Linked DNA regions of Oryctolagus cuniculus. The protein of the gene in region 1 purifies or fractionates together with the protein of each later gene. This does not show direct contact. Links are inferred from orthologs where the notes say so. Each region holds a gene or a part of one and is shown on either strand. Other genes may lie near its edges.

Region 1 (11,228 bases):
TGCCATTTTCCTCCTTTTCTTGAACGCCCCGGGTTCCCCCTTTCCTGCCTCTACCCTGGGGAGAGTTTCAGCTATCAGGTCTGTGTGTGTTGCTGTAGTGGGGTCACCAGGAGCCGTGGTGAGCGTGTCCCAGGGGCCAGCTAGCAGCAGAGGGGCTGTGAGGGACCAAGAGCCTACACCGGAGGGGTTGGGAGTGGCACCCCCCCCACAGGACTGGTGACAAGGTGCAGGGGGCCTCAGGTGGGCTGCGTGGGGCTCCTGACCAGAGGCCAGGACCCTGGGGAGGGCTGGGCGTGGGAGCCCCTTGCCTTGGGATCCAGCAGGCTCCGGGGGCCACAGATGGAGGCTGGGGGTGGCAGCCTCGGTTCATCTGCACTGAGTGTGTCAGACTTGTGTAATCACAGGCAGGTGTGCAACAATGAGAGTGAGTGTAAGTTTGCAACAGTGTGAAAGAACACAGCCAATTCCTTGGTATCCATGGGAGATTGGTTCTAAGACCCCTGCACATAGCCTAGTCCATGGAGACCGGAGATAAATGGCATAGTCATTGCGTGGAACCTACACACATTCTCCCCTGGACTGTGTGTGTGTGTGTGTGTGTGTTAAATGATTGTTTCTTTCTTTCTTTCTTTTTTTTTTTTTTTTTTTTGACAGAGTGGACAGTGAGAGAGAGAGAGAGAAAGGTCTTCCTTTGTTGGTTCACCCCCCAAATGGCTGCTACGGCCGGCGCACTGTGCCAATCCAAAGCCAGGAGCCAGGTGCTTCCTCCTGGTCTCCCATGGCGGGTGCAGGGCCCAAGGACCTGGGCCATCCTCCACTGCACTCCCGGGCCACAGCAGAGAGCTGGCCTGGAAGAGAGGCAACTGGGACAGAATCCGGTGCCCCGACCAGGACTAGAACCTGGGGTGCTGGCGTCGCAGGCAGAGGATTAGGCTAGTGAGCCACGGCGCCGGCCTTGCTTTGTTTTTTAAAGTTTTCTTTAAGATTCAGAACCTGAAACACTGGTTCACTTTCCCTGACAGCCCCAGGACAGAGCCAAAGGTGGGAGCCAAGACCCCAACCCAGGCCTCCAGCTTAAGAGGCAAGAACCCAGGGCAGGCGCTGTGGTTAAGCCTCCGCTTGCGGTGTCGGCATCCCAAAAAGGCACTGATTCGAGACCCGGCTGCCTCACTTCCAATCCAGCTCTCTGCTGTGGCCTGGGAAAGCAGTAGAAGATGGCCCAGGTCCTTGGGCCCCTGCTCCCACATGGGAGACCCAGAAGAAGCTCCTGGCTCCTGGCCTTGGATCAGCTCATTTCCAGCTGTTGTGGCCGTCTGGGGAGTGAACCAGTGGATGGAAGACCTTTCTCTCTGTCTCTTGCTCTCTGTCTTTCTGTAACTCTGCTTCTCAAATAAATTTATAGATCTTGAAAGAGGGAGAGAGAGAAGGGTGGGGAGGCAAGGACCCAGCTACTTGAACCATCACCACTACCTCGCAGGGTCAGCATTAGCAGGAAACGGGAGTCAGGAGCGGGCCCGGCATGGAACAGCTCCACATCCTAGCGTCTCAGCCCCTGGGCCAAATGCCCGCCCCTCCTTCACACCTTAAATCAGGTCTGGAGTACTTACAATCCCTAATAACAGTGTGGACGCCGTGTAACTCCCGGGTAGACGGTATCATTGAGTGGATGCCGACAAGGTCAAAGTCGGCATGCCTTCAGAACATCTGCATTGCTTCCCCTGAGTCTTTTCTATCCGTGGCTGGTTGAATCCAAGGCTGTGGAACCTGGGGCATCGGGGGCTGCCTGTACTTGAACGTGCTTGCTGGAGCAAGACTGGGACTGCACTGTGTGAGAGCAGATGTGTGCGTGCTTGCGCGTGGCTCCTGTGGGCTGCAGGAATGCATCTCTGAACTTGGATATGGGCCGTGCAGGGGCCAAAAAACTGTGTGCTTTGGGCACACACCAGGGGCAGAGTTTGCTGCAGCTCCCCATGCCCTGGGCCCGCAGGCTGCCCCGGAAGCACAAGCAAGCCCGTGTCCAGTCTCACCTCCCCTCCCCTCCCCCCCCCCGCCAGCGTCCTACACCCACGGAGCTCAGCATCATGCTGCTTGCACACAGCGGCACCCACCCGGAGCCCAGCAACAGCCTTGGGAATGTGCACATGTGGACAGTGTGCGTGACGAGGCATGTCTGCGTGTGGGAGGAGGGCTCATGGCTGCTTCCCGTCTGCAGCCAAATAGGATCCTACACATGCCACGTCCCGGCCAAATTGCAAAAGGTGTTTCCTGGCTGAAAACACAGAAGTTAGAAGTAAACCCCCAGCCCCGTGCACCAGATGAGACCCTGAATTCTGAGTGGCCAGGGCCGTGGTGGGGTTACAGAGGAAGCCCTACCCCAAGAAGGAGCCAGGGCTAAGTCTGCGTGGCCGGGGTCTGGTCGTGTGGGAACAGGTGGAGTCAGGTCGGGTAGGTGGGAACAGGCAGGCAGCTCCGTGTCTGTCCCCTGCATGCACACATGTGTACTTGCTCATGAACACACAGGCACGCATGCGTGACATACACAGTCCCTCCCAAAATGAGCGGTGGCAGCGGGGGTCTCCCACAGGTGTGCTGTGAGCAGAGTGGGCCAGCCTGGCCACGGGGTGCTGCAGGGCGGGCTCAGCCCTGACGGGACCTGTGGAGGACGGTGTGGTGTTGTCGTCATGTGGCATTTGGGAGGCGATTGAGGTTTCTGCCGCTGGCCAGAGACAGATCTCTGCCCTCAGGTAGGCTCTGCGAGGGGCAGTCACCCCCATGGGCTCAGCGCCCGCCCTGTGCCTCACCCCCACCGTCACTTTGCTGCCATCCCAGGATATGCCCAGCTGTCTGGCTTGGATCAGTCTTCCAACTCCTGGCCTTAGTGTTCTTGTCTGTGAAATGGGCCCATGAAGGGACCTGTGGCCAGAGGCGTGAGCCCATAGTGAAATTTGTAACAACACACACCTGTAGAGAGGCGTCGGCTTGTCCACACCTGCCCTGGTGGTTCCTCCTCACCTCGGCAGGTCCTCCTGTGGCTCATGGTGGCGGAAACAGACACAGAGAGGGCGAGGTCTCTGCAGAGCCCGCCTCCCTGTCGGCTTTTCTCCGCCTCTGCCGTTCCTTGGTCTGGAATTAGGTGTGCCTCAAGAGGACGGTGGTGACAGAAGTGAAACGCAGGAGATCCCTCTGTGTGCTCCCCCGGGGCTGGCCCTGCACCCGCCTCCTGGGTGCCCCCTCGAACCGTGTGTTCTGCCATTGGGAAGTGCCTGTGGCCAGAGGGACCACCTAGGAGGCATTTTGAGTGCATTTACATCTGTTCCTGTTCCTGATCATCACCCGACACACAGATCCCTTTTGGCAGCAGTGAGGGGCCCCACACGGTCCTCCAGGACCCAGCTCTTCGAGGAGAGCATGGACAGAGCCGTTCTCTGCGGCACATGTGGTCTTTCAGGAGGGGAGGGGGGAGCGCAGCTTGGGCTGCCCCCAGAGGAGGCGGCTGCAAGGTGTGGCTGGGCTGCGCACGGCGCCTCCCCGAGCCTGCACACAACCTCTCTCCTGCAAACCCCCAGCTTCCCCAAAAGCCTTTGCACAAGGCCCCCCCAGCCCCACCCCCGGGACAGCTGCTGCTTATTGGGAAGCCCAGGGCTATGGTGTGTCCCCCCCCCCCAGAGGGTGAGAGCTGCTGCCTGCTGTGTCCGCGTTTCTCACGTGTGCTGTTTGTGTGCGTGCTAGGATTTAGTTGCAGGTTTTACTAGGTGTTAAGCACTCTTAACCTGTTTATCCATCTCTCTTAAAATTCGTAGCTATCTTTCATAAAGGAAAAGTCACTTGGTATAAAATTGATCACCTTAACTGCTTAGGCGTATGGTTCAGGGGCTTTAAATTCACCCGCAGCCCTGTACTGCCATCACCACCATCCCCAAAATGAAACCATGCACTCCGTCAGTCTGCCCCTGGCGGCCAGTGTCCTCCTGTCTCTGGGACGCTCCCGTCAATGCAGTGGCTCCGTGTGTGTCTGATCTCACTCTCCCAAGCATAACCTTCTCAAGGTCCATGGGTTGTAGCCTGTCAACAATTCCTTGGTTTGCTATTATATTGTATGTGTAACCACCTTTTGCTCGTCGCTGCCCCCTAGTGGCTGTTGTGTGTATAACAGCTCCTCTGTGAACACAGGCATACATAGGTCTCTCTTGCCGGTGTAGACCAGCCCTAGGATTATGGGCTCACAGGGTAATTTTGTTTTTTAACTTTTGAGGAAACACAGTACTGTCTTCCACCCCAGCTGTGCCATTCTACACTCCCATCCACAGAGCACATAGGCACCAAAACAATTCCAGCTATTGAAAACATTTTTTATTATAAAAACAGTGTGGGACATACATGGGTCTGCCAGATCCAGCCATAGCGGAGGCTGGCATCCTGCCTTCTTCACCGTACTTAGCTACGCCTCTGCCCATAGCCATCTTGGGGAACAGTGTTTCATTACCCTGGATCAAGCTTGCCAGGGTTACAATGCGGGCATCTCAGCGGGCCCCTGCTGACAAGCAGATGTGTCCCGGGAGCCGCTCCTTCTCCCCTGAATGCGCCAACCCTGTCTGATCCATCAGGATGTGGGGCCTGTGCGTTTTCCCGCCCTTGGCGTGTGTCTCCGAGGCCCCTGTAGGCGGGGGATGTCCACAGCCTCTCCCTGTTGATGGCTGTGTAGGGTCCCAAGGACAGATGCCCCTCCACCAAGTGTGTCCATCCGTCCTGCCATGAAGGGCATTGAGGGTCTTCCAGCTCTCACCCTGCACTCTTATTTAGAAGCTCACCCAGTGGCCGTGCGGTTTCAGCCGGCTGGGGTGGGCAGAGTGGGGTTGCCGGGTTGTATGGGGCGTGCTCACACACAGACAGACGCTGGCGTTCTCGGAACGTGGCTTCTCGGCTGTCGGTGATGGTGGCTTGTCTGGCAAGGTCACGTGCCCTTGTCTGGCGATCCTCGTCAGGAAACTGTCCGTGCCGCCTCTCCCTTCTCTTGTTCTTTTTCTGCCTTGGAGCAGGTGCGTGGGCAGCCAGTGGTCAGCTGCGTTCTCAGGGCTGGAGGTGGGAGTCCTCCTGAGGGCAGAAGCGTCCACTGATGGTGTTGCCTGTTTGCCTGGGAAGCAGCCGCCATCCCCGCGCTGCCTCAGCATCGATCCCTGTTTCTGCAGCCCCCCTGGGCCTCTACTTCTCACGGGATGCCTACTGGGAGAAGCTGTACGTGGACCAGCCGGCCGGCACGCCCCTGCTGTACGTGCACGCGCTGCGGGACGCCCCAGGGGAGGTGGCCAGCTTCCGCCTGGGCCAGCACCTCTACGGAGCCTACCGCACCCGGCTGCACGAAAACGAGTGGATCCGCATTCACGAGGACACCGGCCTTCTGTACCTCAACCGCAGCCTGGACCAGAGCACCTGGGAGAAGCTCAGCCTGCGCAGTAAGGAGCAGCACACAGAGACTCACACACACGCACACACACATTCATACATACACCACACCACACACACGCGCACACACATCACACACCACACACACACCTGGGAGAAGCTCAGCCTTCGCAGTAAGGAGCAGCACACAGAGACTCACACACACACACACACATTCATACATACACCACACACCACACACACGCACACACACACATCACACACCACACACACACCTGGGAGAAGCTCAGCCTGCGCAGTAAGGAGCAGCACACAGAAACTCACACACACACACACATTCATACATACACCACACACTACACACACACACCACACACCACACACACACCTGGGAGAAGCTCAGCCTGCGCAGTAAGGAGCAGCACACAGAGACTCACACACACACACAAATACACACACACATTCATACACACACCACACACACACACACATCACACACCACGCACCACACACACCTGGGAGAAGCTCAGCCTTCGCAGTAAGGCAGCAGCACACAGAGACTCTCACACACACACACACACACCACGCACCATGCACCATGTACCACACACATACACACACCACACACATACATACCACATACCATGCACCAGACACATAAATCACATACATACACACACAATCACACCATGCACCGCACACATGCACACATACCACGTACCAGACACATGCACACACATACATACAACACACACCATGTACCACACACATGCACACATACACCTACCCAGCACCACACATACACACTCACACACATTCCCACACCACACAAACACAGATGCACATACGACACACACCCCCAGCACCATATGCACACACATATGCACACCACACACACCTTCACACACGACACACACCCCCAAGGTGCCAGGTGTGGCCATGCCAAGACTCCCTCAGGGAGGCTGTGGCAGGGGTGGGGGCTGCTACTGATTGCCACCTACTGGGCAGTCGGCCACCTGCAGCAGGTGAGGCACGCTGGACCCAGTGCCCAGGGCACTTCCTTGAGGGAGCATCTGAGCTAAGACCTGAGTGCCAGGGGAGGCGGGCATGTGGGGCCCTGAGGCATGGAAGGGAGGTGGCCGCCAGGGCCAGAGAGCCCACAGAGCCCTGGGACCCACCCCACCGTGAACCCTGCAGCTCCTGCCCCTCTCCACCCCCTCCATGCGCCTCCCCGGCAACTGACTCCTCCTCTCTCCTGCAGATGGCGGCTTCCCCCTGCTCACCATCTTCCTCCAGGTCTTCCTGTCCCCCGTGTCCCTGCGCGAGGCCGAGTGCCAGTGGCCCGGCTGTGCACGCGTCTACTTCTCCTGCATCAACTCCTCCTTCCCCGCCTGCAGCTCGCTCTCGCCCCGCGAGCTCTGCTTCCCGGAGACCGACCTCTCCTTCCGCATCCGGGAGAACAAGCCGCCCGGCACCTTCCACCAGTTCCGGCTGCTGCCCGTGCAGTTCCTGTGCCCCAACGTCAGCGTGACCTACGGGCTCCTGGAAGGTGAGTGCTGCCGTGCAGGAGGATCTGAGCCAGGTGCTGCTCTAGAAGCCAGGAGGGCAGCGTCCTGCCTGCCTGGGGCTCTCAATCCCCCCGGGGATGGAGCCCATACTGGGGCCATGGAGACACAGTGGCTTCGGGAGGCCACGCCGTGGTGGAGAGTGTGTCTTGAGTTGGGTGGTAAGAGCAGAGGTACAGAGCAAAGGTGAATGGGCACCAGATGTGCAGCTGTGGCCCCTGAAGGTTGCCAACGTGGCCCCCTATGGCTGGAGGACAGTGAGCTACTGGAGAGAGCAGAGGGTGATGGGAGAAGAGCCCTTCGGGACATGGGGAGCCATGGAAGGCTGTAGGGGGAGGCTGTTTCAGGTCCTGATTTTTTAGCATCTGTTCAAGATTTATTTATTTGAAAGGCAGAATGACAGAGAGAAGGAGAGAGACAAAGAAATCTATCGGCTGGTTCACTCCTCAAATGACCGCAGCGGCTGCGGTTGGGCCAGGCTGAAGCCAGGAGCCTGGAACGCCATCCAGGTCTCCGCATGGGTGGCAGCAGTCCAAGCACTGACTCATCTTGCGCTGCATCCCCAGGTGCATTGGCAGGGAGCTGGATCAGAAGCGGAGCAGCCGGGACTTGGCCTGGCGCTGTGATATGGGATGCAGGAGCAGCTTAACCCACTGAGCCTGACTTACCTTTGAAAGGATCATCAGACCACTGGCTTCGGTGTGGTTTGGGGTGGGGAGGTTTAGGGCAGCCCAGCAGGTCTGAAGCACGCACTGGGCTGTTTTAATGTCCCAGTCTGAACTCTGGGTGGATTACCCACCCCTCCCACTCCTCAGCCTGCTTTTATTTTCCCTGGGGTGTGTGTCCTTGACCCCAGTGCTTGGCAAAACAGGTGCTTTGTTTTTGTTTTTGTTTTGTTTTTTGTTTTGTTTGTGTGTGTGTGTGTGTGTGTGTGCCAAATGGTATGCAGGTTTTGTTTAGCGAGGTTTTGGCCATTGAAGGGGGTAGAGGGAGAGATGGCAGGGGGAGCATCTCCCGGCTGGTGCCTGGATATGTGGCCTTCCTCATTCCCCTGCGGCCAGCCAGCTGGGGGGTGTCTGGGGCATCATCCTCACCCAGCCAGCCTCCTGTCTTCCTGGGTCATTGCTGGAGGGTGCATTGTGGTTCACAGGGGTCTCCCTCTGCTGGCTGGGGTCTGTGAGTGGCTGCAGAGTGGGCAGCTGAGCCAGGAGCTCTGCAGGTCAGCTGGGGAGGACACAGAAGCTGCCCCCACAGTCCCACGTGTTCCCCTGTGTTGTGGGTTTGTTTCTTGCCTTCCCTAAAATGAGCACGTTACCTCTAGATTTTTTTTTTAAGTTCCTCATTTTTAAAACCTTGCCAGTGTGCAGAGCTAGTCCCCCCCCCGGGGGCGGGGGCTGTAGCTGAAGCAAAGCCACCTGACCCCACACATGCCCACTCCAGACGGAGGACCCCCTCCACTGGCCTCTTGGTCCCCGCCCACACAAAACCGAAAACCCTGGGAGCCCCGGGCTTCTCTAGGGGAGGAGGCCAGCACGCGCCTGCGCCCCCTTCCCGCCTCCCTCGTCCCCCAGCCCCTGTCTGCTTACTGTACAGGTAAGGACGGGCCCTTCCGCTGTGCCCCGGACAGCCTAGAGGTGAGCACGCTCTGGGCCCTGGACCGCGAGCAACGGGAGAAGTACGAGCTGGTGGCCAAGTGCACGGTGCGCGTGGGCGCGCGCGAGGAGGCCGTGATGGTGCCCTTCCCCGTGACCGTCTACGATGAGGACGACTCGCCGCCCACCTTCCCGGGGGGCGTGGACACCGCCGACGCCGTGGTGGAGTTCAAGCGCAAGGAGGTGATTGTCCCCAGTGTGGGAAACTGCTTCCCGCTGTCTGTTTGCCTCAGTCTGTGGCTGATTCCTTGGTCTGTTCGTCCCGTTCGTTCACCCCTCTGTCTGTCTGCCCGGGCACTCCAGGAGGAGTTCTGCTAGCTCTAGTTGGAGAGGCCAGGAGCCCTGGGTGCCTAGCCTGAGTCTAAGCAGACACACGGGGCTCAAGGGCAAGCATCTGCAGCACACCGTGTGGGACGCTCATTCTGTTCCACCACCAGCCAGTGCCGTAGCGGGGTGGGGGGTGGGGGGAAGCACTGAACCCTGGGACGGCAGAGCGGAAGGAAGGGGCATCTCACAGGGCCTGCTGCTCTGCTCCAATCATCCAGCCCCTCCGGTCTCTGGGCCGCGCAGGTGGAGCGCTACCGCCACCTGCTGGCTCTCCGGCCATCCTGCAGCAAAAAAGGCCGTGGGAGCCCATGGGGGGTGGGGGGACAGCAGAGGACATGGTGAATGGAGACAGCTCCCCCACCAGCCTGCTCTGCCAATGACACTTGGAGGGGAGCGCTCTGCTCCACACCTGGGCTTGGACCTGGCTCTGCCATTGCTTGTGACCTTGAACTGCCCTTCACCCTGTGAGGCCCAACTCCCTTGGGGAGAGTGGAGGTGCCCGTCTCCACTGTGGGGACCTGGATGAACCCTGTCTGCTCTGATTGCTCCTGGCGGGGAAGTCTGTAGGTGCGTGTCACACCTGTTGCACAGGTGAGGAACTGGACCGCGCTGACAAGTGGCCCCATGGGGACCAGAGCCCAGGTCAGTCTGTGTCCAGAGCCAGCTCTGACCGAGCGCTCTGGTGTGGCTGTCTGGGGGCTGGGCCCCCTCCCACGGGCACTGTCTTTGGGGCACTGGAAGGTCCCACTCAGCAGTCTTGACTGTGGCCATGTGCATCACCCAGGGCACCGTGGTGGCCACGCTGCGTGTCTTTGATGCGGACGTGGTGCCAGCGTCGGGAGAGCTGGTGAGGCGGTACACGAGCACCCTGCTCCCCGGGGACCCCTGGGCCCAGCAGACCTTCCGCGTGGAGCACGCCCCCAACGAGACCTTGGCTCTGGCCAACGACACCTTCGTGCGAGCGACGGTGCATGACTACAGTAAGTGGGGCTGGTGGGGCAGCACCCCTCCCATGCCTGCTGGCATGCCTCTCTGCAGCCGGGCCCCCCCCCACGACCACCCAAGTCTCCCTGCGCCCCGGCCTTGCCTTTGGCCATCTTGGGGAGGTTTTTGCAGCCTGATCTCTTCCTGAACAGCCCCCAGCAGACCCTGGCAGGGCCTCCGCATGCCTCCCATGCTCACCGGCCGGGCTCATGACCCCATGGCTCTGAGGCCTTCGTTGAGCCCCTGGCTCCTGCTGTGGTGCCTGTGGACTGTTGTCCTGCCCCCAGAAGCTCTGTACCACGGCAGCCCCAAACTCAAAGTCTAGGGGGTTCTGAGACAGGTGTTCTGCTGGGCACCCTGTGCAAGGGTGCTTATGCAGGCTCAGTGAGACATCCCATTAGCTACCTTGTGTTCCTGCCTCCCACCCTCCATTCCTGCCCTGAGTCCTGGGACCATTTCCAAATAGTCACCTGTACTTGGGCTTCATGTGTTGGGGGTGCTGGATGAGGGGCACCGTCGCACCTTACTGCCTGGCCTCCTGCCATGTGCTCCTTGGCCCCCCCAGCCCACTGAGCCTTCCAAGGCCCCCACCCGTCCCAAGGGAGATGACCCCTTGATGAGCACAGCTCGCTCCCCATTGTCCTGTGTCTGCTAAACTCTACCCACAGCTGTGGCTCACAGCAGGTGCACAGAATGCACGGGACCCTGGGGTCCACTGGAGCTGCTGTTCTCTGTGCGACTGTGGGGAGGGCTCTGGCCGGTTCCTCCCAGGGCCTCAGTGGTGACAAAGCTTTTGCTGCCCTGTGCCCACATCCCACACACACAGCCTGTCCACAAACACCCCATAGACACACACAGCCTTTCCACAAACACCCCATAGACACACACAGCCTGTCCACAAACACTCCATAGACACACACACCCTGCCCACAAACACCCCATAGACACACATAGCTTGTCCACAAACACCCATATATACACACAGCCTGTCCACAAACACCCATAGATACACACAGCCTGTCCACAAACACCCATAGATACAGCCTGCCCACAAACACCCCGTAGATACACACAGCCTGTCCATAAACACTCCATAGACACACACACCCTGCCCACAAACACCCCATAGACACACACAGCCTGCCCACAAACACCCATAGACACACATAGCCTGCCTACAAACACCCCATAGACACACATCCCACATGCCCAGCCTTTGCACAAATACCCCACAGATACACACATCGCACTCACATACCCTGCCAGCCTATGCATCTTGGAGGAGGTTGCCAGCCCCCGT
Region 2 (11,953 bases), on another chromosome or scaffold:
ATGGATGAATTTCATGACTTTCTCCAGGCAACTCACCTAACCTGGCTCCAACAAAAAACAGAACACCAAAGCTGAAAAGCAAACACAGAAGGATTTTGGGCAATTGAAAAAGTCCTCAGAAATAGGTCCAGCAGGGGCCGGCATTGTGGTGTGGCAGGTTAAGCTGCTGCCTGGACTATGGGAATCCCCTATGGACACCAGTTCAGATCCCAGCTGTTCCATTTCCAATCCAGCTCCCTATCAAGCACCTAGGAAAGCAGCAAAAGATGGCCCAAGTGCTTGGGCCCCTGCACCCACGTGGGAATCACAAGCCCAACCCCAGCTGTCGCATCCATTTGAGAAAATGAAACAACGGATGAAAGATCTCTCTCTCTGGGGGCTGGTGCTGTGATGTAGCAGGTAAAGCTGCCACCTGCAGTACCAGCATCCCATATGGAAACTGGTTTGAGTCCTGGCTGCTCCACTTCCGATCCAGCTCTCTGCTATGGACTAGGAAAGCAGTACAAGATGGCCCAAGTCCTTGGGCCCCTGCACCCGCGAAGCTCCTGACTCCTGGCTTTGGATCAGTGCAGTTCCAGCCATTGCGGCCATCTAGGGAGTGAACAAGCAGACGGAAGACCTCTCTCTCTCTGCCTCTGCCTCTCTGTAACTCTGCCTTTCAAACAAACAAATGCATCTTAAAAAAAAAAAAAAAAAAACTCTTTCTGTCTCTCCCTCTCTCTCTCTGCAACTATGCCTTTCAAATAAATAAAATAAAACTAAAAAAAAAAAAAAAGGAAGAAAGAAAAGGAAAAGAAATAGTTCCGTGGGCAGCTGGCGTAACATCACTAGAAATTGATTTCTCTTCCTATCTTCTTTCCTCTGTTTAATTAATAGTCAGATTCTGGGGCTGTTGCTGTGGCACAAGAGGTAAAGCTGCTGGCAGCAGTGCTGGCATCCCACATGGGCACTAGTTCGAGACCCGGCTGCTCTACTTCCAATCCAGCACTCTGCTATGGCCTGGAAAGCAGTAGAAGATGGCCCAAGTCCTTGGGCCCCTGCACCCACATGAGAGACCTAGAAGAAGCTCCTGGTTCCTGGTTTCGGATCAGCCCAGCTCCAGCTGTTGAGGCCATTTGGGGTATGAACCAGCAGATGGAAGACCTCTCTCTTTCTGTCTGCCTCTCTCTAACTCTGCCTTTGAAATAAATAAATAAATAAATAAAGGTCAGATTCTTCCACATGGTGGCAAAAGTAACCATTGACAGCTGCCTCCTACAGCCTAAAGCTGAGCAACCCTAGTGGAGGGAATTTCTTTCCAGATCCTTCCAGCCGGAATCTCAGAGGCTACTTCTTTGGCGCTGATAGGTCACATATCCAAATCACTGTGCTTTTGGCCAAATATAGGTCATGTGGTCATTTCTAGAGCAAACTTTAAACGTGGAATTAAAAGTGAAAGTGGAGTTGCCGATATCAATGGAAAGGGGAGGGGAACCGGAGCAGACAGAAACAGCAGAGGTTCTTTCCAAATGACTTGTTTGTGACTCCGTGCTAGGAGCCAGAGACTGAAAAGACAAGATCTCAAAAAACAAAACAAAACAAAAATGGAAAGATCTAGTCCCCGATTTTCAAGGGTTGCAGTTAGTGGGAGAGGCGGATGCTCAGCATCGCTCACGGAGGGGATGAGAGGTGAAACGCAGGGCCGCCGCAGCCCACCCTGGGGAGACAGGAACGCTTGCAGGAGGAAGGGGTGCTCACGGGGCCCTCGCAAACGTGGGAGGGATTTCAACAGATGCTGCTGGAGGGCAGAGGCCGCTGTTCACTAGGTGTTTGTGTTACCAGGGCCTCCAAACGTCTTAAACACCGTAGCATTGGTTAAGGCTGAAAACACAGCCAGGCACCCTTCAAAGACAGCCATACGCAATGGGTGCTGGTGAGTCATTAGGTGATTTCATCGTGCAAACATCAGAGTGCACTTTCACGGACTAAGGCGGCTACAATTCCCCGGTTGTAGCGTCTCATGAGACTGCTGTCCAATATGCAGCCCGGGGTTGAGGACACTGGCTAACTTAGAGGGAAAAAGGAAATTATGTTGGAAGGCTGCCAAGATATCCCACGGACTCCAAGGAATCAGCAAGCACAGGCTGAAAGAGCAGGAATCGGGGTGGGGGCGTCTCCAGGGACTGCTGCGGGCAGATTGATGGATCTAAAGTGCTGAGCTTAATGGAACTCAGCTCTGACAGCTTCCAGGCTCTGCGCCTCTCAGTTTCCTTCCTTCCTTCCTTCCTTCCTTCCTTCCTTCCTTCCTTCCTTCCTTCCATCCATCCATCCATCCATCCATCCATCATTTCTTTCTAGATTTATTTGAAAGGCAGAGTGACAGAGAAAAGGAGAGACAAAGAGAAGAGAGATCTTCCATCTACTGGTTCACTTCCCAGATGGCCACAATGGCTGGGGCTGGGCCAGGCCGAAGCCAGGAGCCAGGAGCTTGGTCTGGGTCTCACACCTGCATGCAGGGGTGCAAGCACAGGCCATCCTCCACTGCTTTCCCAGGCACATTAACAGGGAGCTGGACTGGAAGTGCAGTAGCCAAGACTCAAACCAGTGCCCAGGGGGCCGGTGCTATGGCATAGTGGGTAAAGCTGCCACCTGTAATGCTGGCATCCCATATGGGTGCCAGTTCAAGTCCCAGCTGCTCCACTTCCAATCCAGCACCCTGCTAATACACCTGGGAAAGCAGCAGATGGCCCAAGTGCTTGGGCCCCTGCCAACCATGTAGGAAACCCAGAGAATGCTCCTGGCTTGGGCCTGGCCCAGCCCCACCTGTTGCAGCCATCTGGGGAGTGAAGGAGCAGATGGAAGATCTTTCTTGCTCTGTCTCTCTGTAACTCAGCCTTTCCAAGAAATAAAATAAATATTTTTTAAAAAAAGTGCCTATATGGGAGGTTGGCACTGCAGGTAGCTGCTTAAGCTGCTTCACCAGAGTGCTGGCCTCTGTGCCTGTCAATTTCAAATTCCAAATTCCTGGCACACAGAACCTGCTGGAGCCAGTTAACACCAGTGTTCACCGTGGATCCAAGGCAAGGAGGAGAGGTTCTTCAGTTACAGATGTGGCTGAAGGGAACCAGGGCATTGTTGGGAAGGGAGGGCTTGTGAGCTAGCAGGCAGGATGCAGGACAGATGGGGCATGGGGCTGCAAGTCTGATTAAGGAGCAGCTCACAGAGGAGAGTTAAAGGGGCCTCGATTCCAGATGAAGAAGCAGAAGGTGTCACACTACAGAGAAAGTAACTTACCTCTGTCTGCTGAGGCTTAGCATAAAAGAATTATCAGAAGATAGTCATGGAGGCCAGCGTGTGGCCTAGTAATTAAGAGACATGAGGCCTGCATCCCCCACTGGAGTGCCTGGGCTTAGTCCTTGGATCCAGCTTCTGATTCCAGCTTCCCGCTAATGCAGACCCTGGGAGGCAGCAGTGATGGCTTAAGTCGTTGGATCCCTGCTACCCACATGGCAGACCTGCACTGGGTTCCCACCTCTGACTTTGGCCCTGGCCTGGCCCTGGTCCAGTCCTGGCCACTGTGGGCTTTGGGGAGTGAACCAGCAGAAGGGAGCTCTATCTCCACCTCTAAAACATTTTTTTTTTTTAAAGAAAACAAGAAAGGTGTTGTTGAAGTGCTAGGAATAATGAGTTTGCCAAGGGAGGGAGTTGAGAGAGAAGAAGGTAGAATCTAGGATTAAGGCATCCTAGGGCCCACGATGCCAGCATCCCATATAGGCGCCGGTTCAAGACCCGGGTGCTCTGCTTCCATCTAGCTCCCTGCTAAAGGCTTGGCAAAGCAGCAGAAGCTGACCCAAGCATTTGGACCAATGCACCCGTGTGGGAGACCCAGAAGAAGCTCCTGACTCCTGACTTCGGCCTGGCCCAGCTCCAGCTGTTGAGGCCATCTGGAGAACAAAACAGCAAATGGAAGATCTCTCTCTTTCTCCCTGACCCCGGGTCCCTGCCCCCTAACTCTGCCTTTCAAATAAATAAATCTTAAAAAAAAAAAAAAAAAGGAATTAAAGGCACCCTTTGAGTGAAGTTTGAGACCAGCAAACTAGACTGTGGAGGGAGGGGTCACACAGGAGACAGGCGTCCTGCTGGGCACAGGGCACTCTCATCAGCATTACCTAGGAGAATTCCTGACACATATTGGATGTCCCCTGCCCAGAAAAGTCCCTGCCCCCTCCCTCCAGGCTTTGTCTCCGCTGGGTGACCAATACCCCTGCCCTGTGCATGGCTGCTCTATCAAGGATGATTGTCCAAGGGCTGGCATTTTGGTGCAGCAGGTTAAGCTGCTGCCTGCCATGCTGGTCTCCCATATAGGAGTGAAGGTTCCAGTCCCAGCTGCTCCATTTCTCACTCAGCTCCCTGCTAATGTGCCTGTGAAAGCAGCAGAGGATGGCCCAAGTGGTTGGGCCCCTACCACCCATGTGGGAGACCTGGAAGTTCCTGGCTCCTGGCCCAGCTCTAGCTGTTGCAGGCATTTGGGGAGTGAACCAGCAGATGGACGATCAATCTCTCTTCCCTCAATCCTCTGTTTCTCCCCCTCTGTCTCTGTAACTCTGCCTTTTACATAAACAAATAAATAAAAATCCTTAAAAAAAAAAAAAAAGGTAATGACAACCTATGGTGTAGGTACTTTCCTCTTCCTATGTCATAGATGAGGAAACAGATCCAGAGAGGTTCAGGAAGTAGCCTAGGGTCACACCGCCCAGTGGGCAGAGCGGCTGGGAAGTAGACTGAGTCAGGACCTGGCTCTCATCCACCAGGCTGCGCAGTCACCTTGAGGGTATCTTCCAAGCAAGAACATTTGAATACAAAATTACCAAGTCGGAATTATGCTCTCTAGTTAGATCAGGATGCCAAGGCTCAGAGAGGTTAGGGAACTCTCCCAAGGCTGCACAGCTGATCCTGGACCAGAACCTGGATTCAAACTTGGGGTGTCTCACTTCAGTTCCCGGGAGCTTTCACGTGAATGTGACTGCGTCTGTTGCCTGCGGTGATGGCCAAGGGGAGAGAGTGGCTAGGACGCTGCCCAGTATCAGCTTCTACAGCAAAGCTACGGGAAACGAGAGCATGTCCACTCTGGTCAGGAGGAGGCCCCTGGTGGCCTTCACGACCACTGTCCTCTGGTCAGGGGCTGGCAGAAGCCACCTAGGGCGAGCAAGTAGAGATGTGGGGGCAGTGATGAGAAGTGGAGGGGTAACTGAGGAAATACTAGGGTCAAGACAGAAAAGAGGAAGTGTCTTCAGAGACGGAGGGAGGAGAGAATTGATAAAGCTCAGAGGCAGAAGTGGGACACAGAACACTTCCACTTATTCACTACTTACTGAGCAGCTATTATGTGCTCCGCACAAGAGATCACCAAAGAGCCAAGATCCAGTGCAACTAACAGTGTAAGGAGGGAGATAACAAACTCTGTAAACAGATAAATAAAATGAGAGTTGTGATAAGAGTCCAGGAAACTGGACAGAGAGATAGTGATGAACAAGTTGGGACCAACTCTAGGCAGGAGTGGTTAGAGGAAGACTGAGTAAGATGGGAGTGGTGAGGCGGAAGTAGCTGTGCCAAAGCCAGGTGGAGAGAGGGAGCTGGCACATGCCAAGACCAAGGGCTGGGACGTGGCCTGGCTGGAATTCAGTAGGCAGCAGGGAGGGCCTTGCAGGGATGAGATAAAGGAAAACCCCTTCCCCTAAGCTCCCTGGGAAGCCCCGGAGGAACAGAATGGCATGGTGTGAATGCTGCTTAGGCAGTAGGGAATGACACAGCCTTGCCAACAGTGAAGAGGGAGGGCTGTTGATCAGCTGGGGAGAAAGAGAGAGGCTTGCAAGAGGATGCCTGCGGAGCAAGTCCCTGCTCTTCCCGGTGCTGTCAGTGAGAGGAGCCAGGCAGCCCTGTTGCTGAGCCCCGTGAAGGACCCCTTGCCTGTATGTTGTCACCTTTGGTCACCACCATGCCTCACCACCCACCTATCAGCCCAGAGGCCTTCTCTGCCATGCCACGTTTTTGTGTTTTGTTTATTTGAAAGGCAGAGCAACACAAAGACACACACACATAGAGCGATCTTCCGTCTGCTGGTTCACTCCCCAGATGCCAGCAATAGTCGAGGCTGGGTCAGGCCAAGGTCAGGAACCTGGAACTCCATCTGGGTCTCTCATGTGGGTGGCAGAGACCCAAGTGCTTGAGTGACCACCTGCTGCCTCCTCAGGTGCACAGAAGCCATGGAAGCTTCCATGGGAAGCAGAGGCAGGACTTGATCCCAGATGCTACAATACGGGATGTGGGTGTCGCAAGCCACAGCTTAACCTTCAGTGCCCTAAAGCCCACCCCAACCGCGCCTTTTTTTTAATTTTTAATTTGTTTATTTGGAAGGCAGAAATACAGAGAAGGAGGGGGAGAGAGAGAGAGAGAGAGAGATCTTCCATCACCAGTTCATTCCCCAAGTGTCTACAACAGTCAGGTCTGGGCCAGGCTGAAACTGAGAGCCAGGAGCTTCATCCTGGTCTCTCACATGAGTGCAGGGGCCCAAGCACTTGGGCCATCCTCTGCTGCTTTCCCAGGCACATTAGCAGGGAGCGGGATCAGAAGTGGAGCAGCTGGGACTCAAACCTGTGGATGCCGGCACTGCAGGTGGAGGCTTAACCTTCTATGCCACAGCACTGGCCCTGCAGTGTTTAAAAAAAAAAAAAAAAAAAAAAAAAAGGAAAGAAAGGCAGAGTGATGGGGTAGGAACAGAGACCTTCCATCTGCTGGTTACCCCCCAAATGCCTGAAATAGCCAGGACAGGGCCAGCTGAAGCTGGGAGCCAAGTTATTCAACCCAGGTCTCCCAAAGGCTGGCAGGGATCCAGCTGTTTGAGCCATCACCTGCTGCCTCCCAGGGCCTGCATTCGCAGGTTATTAGAATCAGGAGTGCAGCTGAGCGTGGAAGGCGGGCATTCTGATATGGGAGGCACATGTGTTCACTGTGCGGCCAAAGGCCAGCCCCAGGCCTTTTCTTTCTAAGCCTTAGTTTCCACAGTCATAAAATGAGAATTAGAACGCCTATGTCCTTGATCAAATGACAATCTCTGCGTAAAATGCTCAGTACAGTTCCTAGAACATAGTGATTAATAAAGGTTAATTATTTCATTTATAAGGAAGTGGGCTAGTAAATGGATACATTGCAGTTCAAGGTGGGGAAACACCTGCTGACGGCAGCCGAGAGGCAGACTGCCTGGGAGCACCGGGAAAGCCCAGAGGCGGCGATGCTGGAACCGCGCCTTCAAGAATGAGAGAGTTTTCAGCGAGGGAGCGAGGAAATGGAAGAGACATGGTGGGAGGGAAGAAAACCCACAGGGGCTGAAGTGGCGGGTGGTGCTGGCACGCCCTGGGGAAGGTGATCAGGGCAGGGCGGGAGTTCAGGTGGTGTGGGATGAGCCTGGACAAAGGGCTTCAGGTGAGAATACAGGATTTAGGAGTCGAATCGAGAGGACAAGGGGCATCAGCCCAGCTCCTGCCGCATGCCTGGCACTGAGTTAGGAGGTTGGTGCTTTTTTTTGAAGGAACTTGGATTTTTACCCTATGGATCACGGAGAACAGAAGAGATTTTGAGGCAGATGGCGACAGGGCTGAGTATTTATTCATATAACTTTTAGGATGATGCTCCTGGTAGCCAAGGGGAGATCGGGATGGAGTAAGGAGACAGTAGGGAAGCGGCCAGGCTTCGGCTCAAGAGGGAGAAGCTGCAGCGTTCAGCCGGTGGGGATTGGGGTCAGTCGGAGGCTGCAGAGGGTTTTTGTCCCTTTATCAGGCAGGCTCAGAGGTAGATTTCAGGGGAGAACGGTGGCGAGGGCAGTGAGGGGAGTGAACGCTCCTGAGGGGTCAGGGGTCACAGCTTACCAGGATGGAACAAAGCTGTGGCTCTGACCCACCTGGTGCACCTCCGGGTATCGCTGGGATTGGGCCCTCGTTGTCAGCGATGAAGGTGACCTGTTGTGAGAAAGGAGAGGAGAGTGTGTGAGCACCTTCCAAGCAGTAAATCACTGAGCAAATATCAGACCCTCTGCCACCAGGGAGGCCGTGAACTGCAAGGGGCCACACAGCTGGGATGGACTTTAGGGGAGGTGGCCATGGTGAAGATAAAGAGTGATCCATGACCCGTACATGCACTCTGTTTACAAACAGGCAATCCCACACTTCCGGGATCTACAGGACACCCCGAGACAGCTGTCCCAGCACCCCGACACTGACGGTTGCCTTATGGGTTCCCTCACCTCTCACTTGGATTTAAGGGCGCACCAGAAGTCTGAACCTGGAGTCTTGGGGGAACCATGTGAATTGCTGAGTATTTCTGGGGCTGGAATCCGTATTCTCCACCAAACTCTGAGATCCACTCCCCTTCAAAGGTTAAGAGACACTGATTTTTTTTCTCACCAAAAATTAAGAACAGCTATCCTTGGGGAAGACTGAATGAGGCAGGAGGGGGAGATTTTTCATTTAAAAATTTCTGGGAGGGGGGTCTGCCTCTCTTGGAGCCCCCCTCTTGGCTGCTGCATCCGGAGGTTTCTGACTTCAATAAATCTTGTTTTAAAATAAATATTTTGAGGGGCCAGTCCTGAGGCATTGCCGGTAAACCTGCTGCCTTCAGTGCCGGCATCCCGAATGGGAACTGGTTTGAGTCTCAGCTTCTCCACTTCTGATCCAGCTCCTTGCTAATGCTCCTGGGAAAGCAGTGGAAGCTGGCCCCAGGGCTTGGGTCCTTGTATTCAAGTGAGAGACTTGGAAGAAGCTCATGGTTCCTGATTTCAGATCCATCCAGCTCCAGTGGTTGTGGCCATTTGGGGAGTGAACCAGGGGATGGAAGATCTTGCTCTGCTCTCTCTCTGTAACTTTCAAATAAGTCTCTTAAAATTTTTCTGAATTGTTTGAATTTTTAAACCATGAACATGGATTAGTTTCACTGAGAAAAGTGTTATTAGAAGTTACGTGGGTGGTTGAGATAATGGGCCCTTTTTATATTTTATCTTATCTCGTTGTGTTAAACGATTTTTGTTTTTGCTAAAAAAAAAAAAAAAAAAAAAAGAACCCGGATAGAATGGAGCACACACACAACACTCTATTATGCAAAATTCACCCTATTACGAAAGGCAAAGTGTGTACATTTCCTATGAACGACCGGCTTCAGTTCAGTAATACCTGCATAGACAAGGTGGAAAAAAAATAGGGCAGACAACGGGGAGCATTTCGGCACAGAAATGTCAGCAAGGGGTCATCTTCACCTACAGTCCGCACGTGTGTGTACCGGCCCGCGCACTAGCGGCTGAAGGCACAGAACCCAAGACGGGGTTAAATCCACCGCCGTCTCCCACGCAATCTAGTAATTACTCTATTTCCACGTCATGTTTCCGGGTGTGTGTGTCCCAACTCACGCAGAAGCTGGGGTTCAAAGCAGGCAAGGGTCGCCCATGTTCGTCTTGTCGGCCCCAGAAACCCAGTCCAAGAGGAGGGCGCCTGGCAGATCTGGCGATACCCGGGGACCGTCTAACTGGCTGATTCCCACGTGGTAAGAACCTCTCAGTCTCGCCCCCACGTGGTGCCAAGGGCCGGGAAAAGGGAGAGCGGGCAGGAGGGAGCCGTATCAGGGGCATTTAAAGTGTCTTGACGTCACGCACTGCCAGGAACTCAGCTGAGTTTTCAGCAGGACATTCCGTTCATTTTCCCCCCTCCCTCCGGACTTCTGTGCCCAAGGCCGCGTCTCTTCCGTTGGTGCCGCGGAGGGAGGAGCACTAAAGCTCGGAACAGCCAGCACAGGGGCGTCCCCAGCCTCCCCTTGACTCCGCCCTTTCTCCTGGAGACTTACCTCATTGGTCAATGGGTGGGGCTTCGACGGTACAGCCCTCGCACTGCGGCCTCTGGGTGGTCTAGCAAGCTGGCTGTCTCATGAATTATGTATAAAGGCGTGCCTTGGCGAGACTGGGGCTGGGCGGGGATTGGTTGAAGGGGCTGTAATTCAGCGGTTTCCGGAGCTGCGGCGGTGTAGACGGGAGGGGGAGTCTGGGGTTCCGACGTCGCAGCAGAGGGAAGGAGCCCCAACCGGATCTTTGAAGAGCACCCCCACTCGGCGTTGTCTCTCCGCATCGGCTAGCAGAGGCCCGGCGGCCTGAGGGAGCCCGGCCGCCCGCACCCGGCGCTAGCGCAGCCCCGGCCTGTCGGGCCTGAGCCCGAGAAACAGGTGAAGGGGGTGAAGGGTGGGGCCGCCTCCCCCGACGGCCCCTGAGCTGGGCACCTCGGAGGGCGCCGCGGGGCCGGGAGCGCCTGGGGTGTTAGGGGGAGCCGGGGGTGGGCGCTCAGGGGGCTGGGGGCCGGAGGAGACGCGGAGGGTCACCCTCAGGGGACGGCTCCCTGGGATGACAGGAGCGGGCCTCGGCGGGGACGGGGGAGGGGGGGGACGGGCGTTGGAAGTAAGTTTCGTTCTTCGCAGTAAGGGGCGACGCGGAGGAGAGGGAGAATGAGCTCAAGGGGGCGGCCCGCGGCGCGAGGGCGTGCGAGGCTGGGGATGGCCAAGGTGAGGGAGGCCCCCGACTTCCTGAGCCCCGGGCTCGGGACACTGCGGCCCCGGAGCTGCCGTCCGGCGGGGGTGGAAGGAGCCTCTCCCCGCCCCGCCGGCTCCGGGCTGAGCCACTTCCTCCGCCGGGCCCGGTTCGCCTCCTTCGTGGGCTGGCTGTGCCCCCCTGGAGGTCGGAATAGGTGTCTTCCCCCCACAGCCTCGCGTGCTGGCTGGTTGCGGGTAGGGTTATTGCATAAGACTCAAGTTTCCTGTAGGGAAATGGACAGACTGTATTCTTCCTTAATTCCTTCCCATCTTTTTCTAGGTTAGGCGCTTATCGCTGCCCACCTCCCCTGGAAAAAGAAAAAAAAAAAAAAGGCAAAACAAAAACCCCATCAGGGCCAGCTCATTCCTTCTTGACATTGTTCTCTTAGAAACACCTGGTAAACTCAGCTCGAAGATAAATAATTGAGCCATTGCATTTACTGGATTGTGGTGTTGCTTAATTGCATAGGACAGAATGAACCAATCCAGAGTGGGAGTTTTCTGTCTCAGAGCCAAGATCTTGGGTAAATGCAGAAGAGAGGGAAACAAAGAGGCTGGCCTTGGCACAGCCCTGTATGTGGACTTTACCTGGGTTTGGGGGTGTGGTTGCACTTAAGTTGGCCCAATTCAAGTGTCCCTAGTTGTTTTTTCTGTTTGGTACACATCACTGTGTTATATCAAGTGAGGTGTTTGTTGACACAGTGGTTGGTCGTTTTTTTCTTATTAAAAATGTAGATTGTGTATACCTGTTGGTTGTTATTGTGTGTGCATTTAAATTTCTTTATTCTGTTATGGGTTGTAAACTTTAAAAACGTCTTAAAATTTCATTTTATTTGAAACGCAGAGGGAGAGACGGAGAGAGAGATCTTCCAACTGCTGGTTCACTCCCCACAGGCTCACAACAGTCAAGGCAGGGCCAGGCTGTAGCCTGGAGCACAGAACTCAATCCAAGTCTCCCACAGAGGTGGCAGAGACCCAAGTGCCTGAGTCATGCTGCCTCCCACGGTGTGCATTTGCAGGAAGCTGGATGGTAATGGAGGAGTCAGACACTCTCATATTGGAAACAAGTGTCCCAAGTGGCTTTGTCTTAACCCCTGCACCAAACCTCCAACCCTGGGTTGTAGATTTTTGGCTGTGTTGTAAAGCATTGGTTTGAATAAATCAAAGTAGTAAATTGGGGCTAGCGCTGTGGCATAGCGCTGTGGCATAGCCTCCGCCTACAGTGCTGGCATCCCATATGGGCACCAGTTTGAGTCCCAGCTGCTCCACTTCTGATCCAGCTCCCTGCTGATGAGCCTGGGAAAGCAGCAGAAGATGGCCCAAGTGCTTGGGACCCTGTAACCCATGTGGGAGACCTGCA

What was found.
Region 2: the proteins of RET (region 1) and STAT3 purify together in Homo sapiens (affinity purification with western blotting; 3 studies listed by BioGRID and IntAct, with this or other methods). This does not show direct contact. The link is inferred for Oryctolagus cuniculus from reciprocal best matches to the Homo sapiens genes RET and STAT3.

Annotation. Positions count from the first base shown.
Region 1 is NC_091446.1:85,341,672-85,352,899, reverse strand, and holds part of RET (proto-oncogene tyrosine-protein kinase receptor Ret), read left to right. Parts: intron 1-5,186; coding exon 5,187-5,450; intron 5,451-5,791; exon of another isoform or gene 5,792-5,811; intron 5,812-6,661; coding exon 6,662-6,949; intron 6,950-8,558; coding exon 8,559-8,800; intron 8,801-9,728; coding exon 9,729-9,924; intron 9,925-11,228. UniProt on the Homo sapiens protein: Receptor tyrosine-protein kinase involved in numerous cellular mechanisms including cell proliferation, neuronal navigation, cell migration, and cell differentiation in response to glia cell line-derived growth family factors (GDNF, NRTN, ARTN, PSPN and GDF15).
Region 2 is NC_091448.1:20,432,879-20,444,831, forward strand, and holds the start of STAT3 (signal transducer and activator of transcription 3), read left to right. Parts: upstream 1-5,885; 5' UTR 5,886-5,930; intron 5,931-6,551; exon of another isoform or gene 6,552-6,686; intron 6,687-7,613; exon of another isoform or gene 7,614-7,784; intron 7,785-7,933; exon of another isoform or gene 7,934-7,991; intron 7,992-8,282; exon of another isoform or gene 8,283-8,399; intron 8,400-9,418; exon of another isoform or gene 9,419-9,625; intron 9,626-9,966; exon of another isoform or gene 9,967-10,015; 5' UTR 10,016-10,233; intron 10,234-11,953. UniProt on the Homo sapiens protein: Signal transducer and transcription activator that mediates cellular responses to interleukins, KITLG/SCF, LEP and other growth factors. Once activated, recruits coactivators, such as NCOA1 or MED1, to the promoter region of the target gene.